Linked DNA regions of Macaca fascicularis. The protein of the gene in region 3 interacts with the protein of the main gene of each other region in a biochemical or structural test. Links are inferred from orthologs where the notes say so. Each region holds a gene or a part of one and is shown on either strand. Other genes may lie near its edges.

What was found.
Region 1: the proteins of MBL2 (region 3) and CALR form a complex in vitro, tested with the Homo sapiens proteins (2 studies listed by BioGRID and IntAct). The link is inferred for Macaca fascicularis from reciprocal best matches to the Homo sapiens genes MBL2 and CALR.
Region 2: the proteins of MBL2 (region 3) and CR1 interact in a biophysical measurement, tested with the Homo sapiens proteins (2 studies listed by IntAct). The link is inferred for Macaca fascicularis from reciprocal best matches to the Homo sapiens genes MBL2 and CR1.

What each region holds. Positions count from the first base shown.
Region 1 is NC_088393.1:13,335,985-13,340,281, reverse strand, and holds the start of CALR (calreticulin), read right to left. Parts: upstream 2,862-4,297; 5' UTR 2,791-2,861; coding exon 2,700-2,790; intron 2,339-2,699; coding exon 2,237-2,338; intron 2,045-2,236; coding exon 1,841-2,044; intron 1,419-1,840; coding exon 1,324-1,418; intron 1,232-1,323; coding exon 1,022-1,231; intron 935-1,021; coding exon 821-934; intron 732-820; coding exon 588-731; intron 1-587. UniProt on the Homo sapiens protein: Calcium-binding chaperone that promotes folding, oligomeric assembly and quality control in the endoplasmic reticulum (ER) via the calreticulin/calnexin cycle.
Region 2 is NC_088375.1:65,320,748-65,324,984, reverse strand, and holds the start of CR1 (complement receptor type 1), read right to left. Parts: upstream 2,934-4,237; 5' UTR 2,838-2,933; coding exon 2,702-2,837; intron 1-2,701.
Region 3 is NC_088383.1:93,790,959-93,793,740, reverse strand, and holds the end of MBL2 (mannose-binding protein C), read right to left. Parts: intron 2,271-2,782; coding exon 2,202-2,270; intron 1,446-2,201; coding exon 1,072-1,445; 3' UTR 592-1,071; downstream 1-591. UniProt on the Homo sapiens protein: Calcium-dependent lectin involved in innate immune defense. Binds mannose, fucose and N-acetylglucosamine on different microorganisms and activates the lectin complement pathway.

The DNA.
Region 1 (4,297 bases), on a different chromosome or scaffold from region 3:
ACAAAAAAACTAGCCGGGCGAGGTGGCGGGCACCTGTAGTCCCAGCTACTCGGGAGGCTGAGGCAGGAGAATGGCCTGAACCCGGGAGGCGGAGCTTGCAGTGAGCTGAGATCCGGCCACTGCACTCCAGCAAGGGGGACAGAGTGAGACTCCGTCTCAAAAAAAAAAAAAAAAATTGTAGAGATAGGGTCTCCTCACTACGTTGCCAAGCAAGGTTGTCTAACTCTTGGCCTCAAGCAATCCTCCTGCCTCAGTCTCCCAAAGTACTGTGATTATAAGGGTGAGCCACTGTGCCCAGCCCCAGCTAACTAAGTGGGTTACCTGACCACCTTCTAGTTCTTTGGGGGTATTTAAAGAAGTTGATTTGCATAAAAGTACTTGGGGAAGTACTTAGTTCACAAGAAGTACAACCTCAAAAGCATTGCTGTGAGGACTCCACAGGGACAGACCAGGAAGTACTGTTTACAAAAAGTACCATTTTTGAGTCAGACCCGCCTGGGGTGTGATCGTATCCTGTCACTTTCCCCTTGGGTGATCTTATGCACTTGAGGTACCCCAGGGATCCTCCTTTTTCCTCCAAGTCTCACCTGCCAGAGGTCCAGGCCCAGCACACCAAAGTTATCATAGGCATAGATACTGGGATCAGGAGAGTACTCGGGATTGTCAATTTCTGGGTGGATCCAAGTGCCCTTGTAATCTGGGTTGTCGATCTGCCGGGGCTTCCACTCACCCTGCAGAAGGAAGAAGGGAACTAGAGGGTGAGTAAGGTTGGTGCACTCCCCACTGTGAGCCCCAGCCCTGCTCAGAGCCCCAAACTCACCTTGTACTCAGGGTTCTGAATCACTGGGGGTTCCCACTCTCCATCCATCTCTTCATCCCAGTCCTCGGGTTTCTTAGCATCGGGGTCAGGGATATGCTCGGGCTTGTCCCAGTCCTGGAGGATAGATGAAGAGGTCAGAGTTGGCCCAAATGTCCTCACACCCTCCAATGTGGAGAGCAGAGCCCCCACCCAAACACCAACCTCAGGCTTGGAGTCTGTGGGATCATCGATCTTGGCCCGCTCATCCCAGTCTTCAGGTTTTGAAGCATCAGGATCCTTTATCTTCTTGGGTGGCAGGAAGTCCCAATCGTCTTCCAAGGAGCCCGACTCCACCTGGCTGTTGTCAATCTTCACCTCATAAGTGTTGTCTGGCCGCACAATCAGTGTGTACAGGTGTGTAAACTCGTCATCCTGAAGAAGGAAGAAGGTGAGCAGCCCCCCCTCAATCAGGCTGACCTCTGAACCTCCCCATGACACCCATTTGCCACCACCCCCAGGCACACCTTGCAACGGATGTCCTTGTTGATCAGCACGTTTTTGCCCTTGTAGTTGAAGATGACGTGAACCTTCTTGGTGCCGGGGCCACAGATATCAGGACCTAGGTGTGAAGCAGATCCAGTTAAAAGTCAGAGACTACCCACCATTTCGAGTTCCTCACCCCTCTTTACAAAAGGAAGACCTGGTTCCTAAACTCGGGTCTGTCAAGGCTGAAAAGAGAAACTCAGACCCTGATTCTGTCCTGAATGGGTTGTGGGTGAAGCCTTAAGTTTAAATTAAAAAAAAAAAATCAGTGCTCTAGAACTCAACATCCTCATTTGTAAGATTGGGAAATAACTATATACAATGACACAAATTAATTAACAGCCTAGATCTGCGATCATAACGCAATAAATTGTTGCTGTGACTTAATTATTTTAGCGCCCCTTCCAAAGACAATCATAACTATTAAGAAAGTCAATGGGGTCTGGGTCTCCCTCCAACTAATGGGACAGAGGTCAGCACCAGGAAGCAGCCCCTCACCAAACATGATGTTGTATTCTGAGTCTCCGTGCATGTCCGTCTGGTCCAAACTATTAGGAAACAGCTTCACATAACCGCCCCCACAGTCGATGTTCTGCTCATGTTTCACCGTGAACTGCACCACCAGCGTCTGGCCTTTGTTGCTGAAAGGCTCGAAACTGGCCGACAGAGCATAAAAGCGTGCATCCTGGCTTGTCTGCAAACCTGAGACGGGACGGTAGTGTGGTCACCGTTGGGTCCTGACCCGCGAGGATCCTCGATTTAGACGATACAGACGACTCCCCCACTTCCTCCACCTGCCCTGCTCCTAGGGGACTGTCCCGGCTGTGTATGTGCGGACAAGGACTTCTGCCAGGAAGTCCTCGCGGATCTGAGCACCCACTCCTAAGCTCTTACCTTTATCTTTCTCCTCGTCACCGTAGAACTTGCCGGAACTGAGGACGAATTTGCCAAAATCTGACTTGTGTTTGGATTCGATCCAGCGGGAAGTCCACCCGTCTAAGTGGGGGGTTAGAGAGTTAGGTCAGCGCGGCTCTGCTAATCCCCCCCACACCAAGTATCTGCGGAGAACCACAAGCTGCTGGGGACAGGGAAGGAGATCCCCGACTCTCCCCACCCCAACCTCTAGTTGACACGTCGGGTGCCTTCAGCGATCCTCGGGCGAACCCTAACTCCCGCCGCGGGAGGCCGCTACGCCTTCCGCGTTCCCCAGGGACGCAGAAGAGGGATCGCCCGCAGCTCCAGTCGCCGGGGACCACTGTGTTGGCCCTCTAAGCGGTAATTACGGGCGACGACGCAGATCCGAGATGGGGGGCCGGCCGCGTCGCCGGGACGGCCTCGAGGTGGGACCAGGCGTTACCTCCGTCCAGAAACTGCTCCTTGAAGTAGACGGCGGGCTCGGCGGCGGCCAAGCCGAGGAGGCCGAGCAGCAGCGGCACGGATAGCAGCATGGCGGGCCGAGGGGGCGGCGGCGCGCGGGCCCTTTAAAACGACCCTCCGGCGGCGGCTCTGCAGTACGGACGGACGCCGCCGCCCGCCTTGCATTTTTATACCCACCCGCCTCTCAAACCAACCTGACCCAGCCCTTGGGCCCGCCCCTGACACTTTATCATTGGCCTGCGCCCACGGCCGTCTCTTTCCATTGGACCTTCGTCAGTTCACTAGGTTAGGCTGCGCCTCGGAACGCTGGGTTCCCAGATGGCCGATTTCTATTGGCCTCACCACTGACCAATGATGGTCGACCACGCGTTGTGGGGGACGCCCACTGGTGGGGTGGGGGCCGCGAGCCCCTCAGGCCAGGTCATGTGACCAGACCTGAACCTAAGACCGCCCTTGCCCGTGCGCGTCGTTCCCCATCTGAGCGTTTAAAGAACCCGCGGGAGCGCAGGTGTTTCCACGCGGGATCGGGACCCCGCCTCAGCTTCTCTTCCTCCCGTTCCCTCTAGGTGGAGGGGCTGGGCAAGGCTTTCCTAGCCAGTTCTTATCTTGCATTTGGGAACCAGCACCCCACTGCTGCTCCCCAACCCCCGCCCAGGATAGGAGAGAGCTCATGGGTTGGGGCCCTGGGGCTACGCTGCACCCCGGTGCTACAGCCACGCGGGCCAGTGGGAAGAATGCCAGCCCTCTCCTCATTCTGCCCCTAGGGCCCTGGCAGCCTATCAGACTGCTGCTGTGTGACTGGGGCAAGTCACTTAACCTCTCTGAAGTGACAGACGTTCCTGAGCAGACAGAGGGGGTGACCCTGGCCAGGTGCTACCCAGCAGAAATGCTGTTAACGTTTTTAAAGCTGGCCTGGGACAAGAGGGGAGGAAGACTTAACGATGTGACTGTGACTCCTGGGGTGGGGATAGGGTTATTACCCAGATTGCAGCAGCCCCTTTACTCTCGTCTCAACCGGTAAATGAAGGAGGTCGCTGTCTGTGGTCTCCCACAAACGGCCTGGCTTTTGCAATTAAACGACTATAGGCGAGAGGGCAGGGGGTTCCGTTTGGGGAGGGAAAAAAGACACAGATGGTAGCGAAGATAAGGTGCTAGGGAGATGGGCAGGACCCCCCCACCCCACCCCAGTCTGGAGTCTTCTGAAGCCAGAGGCACGTGACTGGCACCAGTACCCTGCCCCCACGCTGTAGAAAGGAGATCTGGGGGTTTTCCAAACTCTGGGCAAATAAGCCCTGGACCTGGGAACACGGGAGTGGACTATGGAAGGAGGGAATGAGGGGGATCCAGGAAAGAGGGTGAGGAGGGGGTGCTTCCTGGCTAATGGTTGTGACTCAGAAAAGGGAGGAAGGAAAAAATGAAAAGGAAAACAAAGTGGAGTGGGGGAATGACTTGGCAAGGGTCTTTGGTTAAGAAAAGAAAAAGAAATGGTGGCCGGGCGCGGTGGCTCACGCCTGTAAACCCAGCACTTGGGGAGGCCGAGGCAGGCGGATCATTTGAGGTCATAAGTTCGAGAGCAGC
Region 2 (4,237 bases), on a different chromosome or scaffold from region 3:
GTTCTGTGTTTCTACTTTTTGTCTTCCATTCTTTTCCTGCCCTTTATTGTTTTATTGGTTTCCTTCCTTCCTCCTTCCCTCCCTCCCTCCTTTCTTTCTCCTTCCTTCCTTCCTTCCTTCCTTCCTTCCTTCCTTCCTTCCTTCCTTCCTTCCTTCCTTCCTTCCTCCGTTCTTTCTCTTTTGATATGGAGTTGCACTCTGTCACCCAGGCTGGAGTGCAATGGCATGATCTCCGCTCACTGCAACCCCTGCCTCCCAGGTTCAAGCGATTCTCAAGCCTCATGCCTCAGCCTCCTGAGTAGCTGGGACTACAGGCACCCGCCATCATGCCTCGGTAATTTTTGTATTTTTGTAGAGACAGGGTTTCACTATGTTGGCCAGGCTGGTCTCGAACTCCTGACCTCAGATGGTCCACCCACCTCAACCTCCCAAAGTGCTGGGATTACAGGCATGAACCACCGTTCCCAGCCCTCTTTATTGTTTTAACTGAGCATTTTATATGATGAAATTTTCTCTTCCTTATTCACATATAATTATCATTCTTTTTTTCACTTTTTTCAGTGGTTGTCCTACATTTGCAATATCTATTTGCAGCTAATCTAAGTCCTCTTTCAAATAGCCCTATACCACTTCACGGGTACTGTGAGTTAATCATAATAACAAAACAATCCTAGTTCCTCTGCTATGTTTTGTATAGAAATAAATATCCCCATAAACTGTCCTATGCAAACTGTTTCTGGATTCACTCTTTAAGTGCTAGTAAATCCATACACCTTTCACTCACACTTTCCTGATCGTAGGAGCTAAGACTTCTCCCTTTTCAGTGATCCTGCAGTCTTGCATGACTTCTTAGTCATGATTTTTCAGATATGCATGGGGGTTTTCAGATTACAAAACACTGTCACATGCATTACACCATCTGATTTTCAAAATACCTCTTTCAGAGATCAGGATGTCAGTTATGCTCATTTTATACATGTGGACACTCAGTGATGTGACTTAACTTACTGGGTCCAAGACCCCAGCTGGTAAGTAGCAGAAGCTGGAAAAAGCCGAACACTGGCTTCCTAATAAGTAGATTTCATAAAACTCCACCACCTACTTCTACATGCATATACCTTGGGTGCATAGCTCTTATACTTCTTTAAAATTCTAAAGGACCGTGCACACTGGAAACATCCATCAGCATTTTAAAATTTAAATTATGTCAGCAAGAAAATTTCCAGGTAGTATAGTTTAGGCTGTTTCACATTTGGAGGTTATTGTGATAACCTCAGTAATTTTTTTTATTTTTGCAATTAATAGTGTCTGGGATTGTTTATAACAGTAACTTAATCAACATAGGCAAACTAAAACAACATTCTAGTAAGAAGAGGGTCAGTACTCACAAGGATGACACAAATTCTTAAGCACTGACAACAGATTGCTTAACTTACTGGGCATGCTTCTCTCCTAAAAATAAAATTGTAAGTTTTATCATATCTCTTCACCTGACAGGTTACTTTCTGGTGCCTAAGGAGATCAAATAGTAATAACAACTCTTGCGGGAACTTGGTTTTAATTTATTTTATTTTTTACTCTTTTAGAGAAGAAGGAACACTCAAATAAAGAATGCAAAATGTCTAGTAGCAGAGAAGGGCGAACCTGGAGTTGTCAGAAGAGGCTGGACAGGAACAACCAAGACTGTCACTTCAATTGAGATGTTGCCAGTGAGTCTAGGCAAACAAGAAGACTTCTGGGGAGCCCAAAAATAATAATAGAAGGGTTCTAATTGAAGATGTTTACCTATGTGAAGTTAAGAAAAAGGAAGAGATGTGGCCTCAAAATTTCCATAGTAGTTATAATAATAGGGTTTATTTTGCACTAAACACATCCCTAAAATGCGAACTGTAAACATATCTACTGTTCCTTCTACCTGCAGCGGTTACACTGCATGTTCTGGGGCTGCCCTTACTCCTCTAATCCCCAAGTGCCTGGCATGCATCTGTCTTAAAATATACTATCAATCAAGTGCAAGGGTGATGATAGCGGTGGTGGCTTGGGGTGGGGAACGAGGACAGTTCTATGTGGGGCAGTTGTCAGGTAATACCTGCATCCCTAGGACTGCTTGTCTAAACACCATTGGGAGCAAAGTGCAGAGGCAATGGTTGAGGGGATAGAAATGGACTCGGGGACAGGCCCTGTGTTAGACACTCGACAGGCTTTATGCCACTGAGGCAGCACCTCCACAATGCACAGATATCAATGTCCCCATTTTACAGAAGAGCAAACAGACTTAGGTGTGCTAAGCTGCCTCATAGTTAAGTTTCTAGGACCAGAACTCAGGTTTGTCGGATCCCCAAGTCCCCTTTCGCTAGGATCAACGCCACGCTCCGCTATAGCCAGCCTAGACTGTGAATACACAAATGCAAGGAATTTCATGCGACACCCGCTCAGCATCTGCGCCTTCCTCTGCGCTGGTCACGACTTAAGCCCCATGCACATGGGGACTCCACGCTTACCCAGAAGCAGCGAGGGTCTCCAGTGAGCAGAAGAATCCCAGACCCGCCGCCCTGCCGGTTTGCGCGCTCAGCCCACCCATCGCACTGCCTTCGGACCCGGGCGTCCAGAGGAGCGCAGCCCAGCGAGGCACGCGAGTTCCCTGCGGGGCCCCGGGTGCCTCGTCCGCCCAGGCGCCTCCCCACGCCCGCCCGCGTCTCACCCCAGGCCACCGGCAGCGCGAGCAGCACCACAACCGCCAGCAGGGATCCTCCGCAGCAGAAGGGGAGACGGGGCGCCGGCGGCCCAACAGGCTCCGGGCTTCTTGGAGAAGAGGCCCCCATTCTCCCCAAGCACATCTACAAACCAGATTTGTTCTCGAAGAAAGCTGAAATAAGAGGAAAAGAGCAGTACAAAGAGGAGGGACCAATCCTTGTGCTCCGCGCCCAGGGTATGGGGAGGGCTGCGGGGTTCCGGGACAAAATGCTTTTCACCACAGCTTCCTCTTCATGGGCGAGGCCATGTTTACTCCCCATTTGCATTGTTTCTAACGGGTTTCTCTGGCAGAGCCCACGTTGCGGACCCAGGTGCAGCAGCAGAGCTTGACAATGCTTGGGCTTCCGATGGATCCCGCGTGCGAGGCTCTGCGCTTACAGACACAGGTGGTGGATGACGGCAGCTCGCCTCCAAACAGCCTGCTTGACTATTCCTCTTTGCAAGAATGTGTGTGGGAAGGTCAGCTAATGAAATGCCTGGTCTCTGTGTTGAAGCGCAATTGCAGGCCATGTGTACAGTGTACAGAGAATGTGAAGAACCAATTTCCTTATCGTGAATTGAGATGTCAGGCCATCGTAAGATTTTTAAAAAGGGAGGGACGATCGGATATACATTTTTAAAATGTAAATGTGTGTATAGTATGGAAGGTAGATTAGAATAGGGCAATAATGGAGAGGGGAGACCAGTCAGGGAGCTTTTGCTGACATCCAAGTGAGGTTTGATGGCGGCCCTGACTGGGTGGATAAAGTGGATAATTAACAAAGATTTTGGAGATGAAATGAACAGTTGCTTGTGTACTGGATATTGGTTACTTCCTTTCTTAAGGTTGGTGGTGAGAAGAAAGCAATCAAGAGTTAGCCCCAGGATTAGAAATGGATGGTGGTGCTACTTATTGAAATAAGAAATATGGATGTAGGAGTGACAGATTTAGGGTGACGGTTAAGTATTCAAGGATGAATTTATTCCTCCTATCTATCTGTGATCCTGTGCCCTTTAACCAATCTGTCTCTATCTCCCATTGTCTCTCCCTTCCCCAGCCTCTGGTAACCAGTACTCTACTCTCTACTTCTATGAGATGAGCTTTTTTAGAGTCCACATATGACTGGTATCATACAGGATTTGTCTTTCTGTGCGCACTGGTTTCCATTAGGCTTTCTCCCAAAATTCTAGTGGAAGAAATGTCTACTTTGATCATATCACTTATCACACTTTTTAATACATCCAGTGACATTCTTTTAAGGATTTGCTATCATCATTTCAAGTTATTCTCGACAGAGTAATGGGAGAAGCAGTCAGATTGTAGTAGGCTTAGGAAAAGAGAAGAGGAGAAGGCTCAGTTTCTCAGTTTTCCATCACATGCTATCAGAAGGTGCCACTCCTTACCACTTCTGCTAGTATCCATCTCCTAGTGTCTACTTTCTCCCCTCATTCCTTGAAGGTTTTAGCTCCTGGCTCATGGCCACCTTCTCCACTATTAGTTCTG
Region 3 (2,782 bases):
ATTCATACAATCACTTAGGAAAACCAGCAGTATCTACTGAAACTAAATACATGCTTTCCTCATTCTCTACTAGTTCCACTCCTGGATAGGTAAATTCATGCACCATGTCCACCAGAAGACAAGTCCAGGAATGTTCGTGGATTCTCTTCTTCATGGCCAAAAATTGGAAGCCACTTAAATGCCTATTAACAATAGAATGGATGAACTGAGGAATATTAATATAAGGGAACCCTACATGGCAGTGAAAAGGATGAAACTTCTGTACATATGACATGAATGAATCTCACAGATTGAATTCTGAGTAAACAAGACAGACAACATTACACACAGTATGATTCCAACTACACAATGTTTATAAACAGACAAAATTACTGGGCAGTCATGGAGGTCAGAACAGTATTTTCCTAGAAGTTAACACTAGAAGGACTTATAAAGGGGCTTCTAGGAAGTCAAAAACATCCCATATTTTAATCTAGAAAGTGAGTATATAGTTATGTATGTGAGTGAGAATTTGTGAATCTGTTTGCTTGAGATTTGTTACTTATGTTCTTTACATGGTTTAATATCTCATTAAAAAGAAAACAGAGTTCATAAAGTTACAAAATAGATTTTATTAATACCTGAAACTTGTTAAAAAGCTATGGTATTAAATTGTGGTGATGTCATTAGGGGAGCCCTCTACCCAAAGAGAAAGGAAGGCTCAACAGAGCACAGGTGTTTGTTGTAAATGGAAAAATAAATCCATCTTATGTTCATATTGCAGCAAGTTAATGCTACTGAAAGTATTGCAGCTTAGTTAAACTAGATAATTAACGTAGGATGCAAAAGATAGGGTCTTGTGGTATATATTAAAAATATATTGTTATATAATTAGCATGACTACTACTGCTGCTACTAACTACTACTACTATTATTATTACTTTGTTGGTGCTGTTAGTGATCATTTTTAGTGACTGCCACAAAAGAAACAATACTGGATAAGGGGAAATTGATATAATTTATCTTTTCAAGCAGACTGTGGGCCTGCGGGTTGCAGTAAAAAGACAAGGAGGGCCTGAGTGATGTGACCCTTCAGATAGGGAACTCGCAGAGGGCCAGATGGGAAGAGGAGCAGGGGATGTCATTCCACTTGCCATTTTTCAGTAACAATACACAGTCTTCATTAGAACCAGCATTGTTGGGCTCACCATCGTTCCAGTTTGTGTAGGTCAGTTTATTTCCTGTCAGATCTACAAACTCCCCTTCTGTGTTCTCATCAGTGATGCCCAGGAAGGCTTCCTCCTTGATGAGATTCTGGATGGCTCTGTTCTCTGCAGCATTCCTGGGGGTGGCCACAGAGGCCTGAAACTCGGCACACAGGGCCTTCACTTTGTCAAAGGTCATCATTTCACCATTAGTCAGGAAGAACTTGTTCCCAACTTGTCTGCCCAGAGAGAAGGTCAGCCCTAAAATGTGAAAAAGTGGGTGAAATTGGCTTATCCTTAAGCCCAACTCAAGGTATTTCTCAAGAAAAAGTCTTCTAGAGTAGAGTTGCCAGATAAAATATAGCATGTCCAGTTAAACTTGAATTTCAGACAAACAATGAATATTTTAGTATATCTCCTATATAATTTTTCAGACATATTTATACTAAGAATGTTTTTAAGCTGAAATCCAATTTAATTGGTGCTTTGTCTTTTTCTTTGTTAAATATGGCAACCCAAATGTGAACAGACAGACTGCTACAAAGGCCTCTCTGTGCTTTCAGATCAGAATTCTAAAAGATATATAATTTGGACTTCCAAATTATAAATTATTAACTTGAGACCAAACAAAAAATGTCTGAAAATATTTGCCCGAGGCAGGTTAGACCCCATGTCCAGGTCTCAATACCAGTGCAACAAAGGGATATAAGTCCCATTTTCAGTGAGCAATATCAGAGGGTAAAATATTAGGGTCTCTCGAGTTAGACTGACTTCCATCTATAAAGCACCCCTGCCATTTATTAGCTCTGTGCATTTGAGCAAGTAATTTAACTTCCCTTTGCCCCCATTTCTACCAAAATGTTGTGAGAATTCCATGAGGTCAGAATATGAGAAATGCCCATCAGGGTACAGAAAATTATATGCATTCAATAAATATTTTTTGCATTCTATAAATATTTGTAGCATTCTATTTTTCCCAAATTTCAAGCTGCCTGGAGAGTAAGAGAAAAGGCTTACATTTTTTGATACGAGCCATTTCTGTTTGCAGAGCTTTTCTTTCTGAGGCAGCCAGGCTACTCTCACAATCTAGAAAATTAGAACAAAGTAAAGAAGCATTGTTGAGAAGGAACCTCGGAACTGTGCATATACACGAGAGTAGAGTATCTTTTTCAAATTGAAAAAGAAGCTTATTTTACATTGATGTTTACACTTCAAAGGAAAATAAAAAATACTTAAAAGTCAAAAGAATGAAAAATCTCTATTTTCATCCAACCCCAAACGTCACTCTTTGTCTGTTTACTGTATCCCAAAGTACACGTACATATCACATGCACACATATACTCCCTGATTACTTAGCAATCCATAGGCCAGGTTCTTCACAGATTATTTCTTTCCAAACAAATTGTTCTATCAAAACTAAAAAGAAATCTCTTGAGGCATTAGTCTATTATGACCTGGTGAAGAGTGACTAAAAAGATTACAGGGTTTTTGTCTTTGGAGAGGTTTTGCTTTTGTTGTCTTTTATTTTGTTTTTGTTTTTCCCAGGTTTGTTCTATTAGTCAGGAAACCAAGGTTTTTGTGAGTTGCCCATTATCCA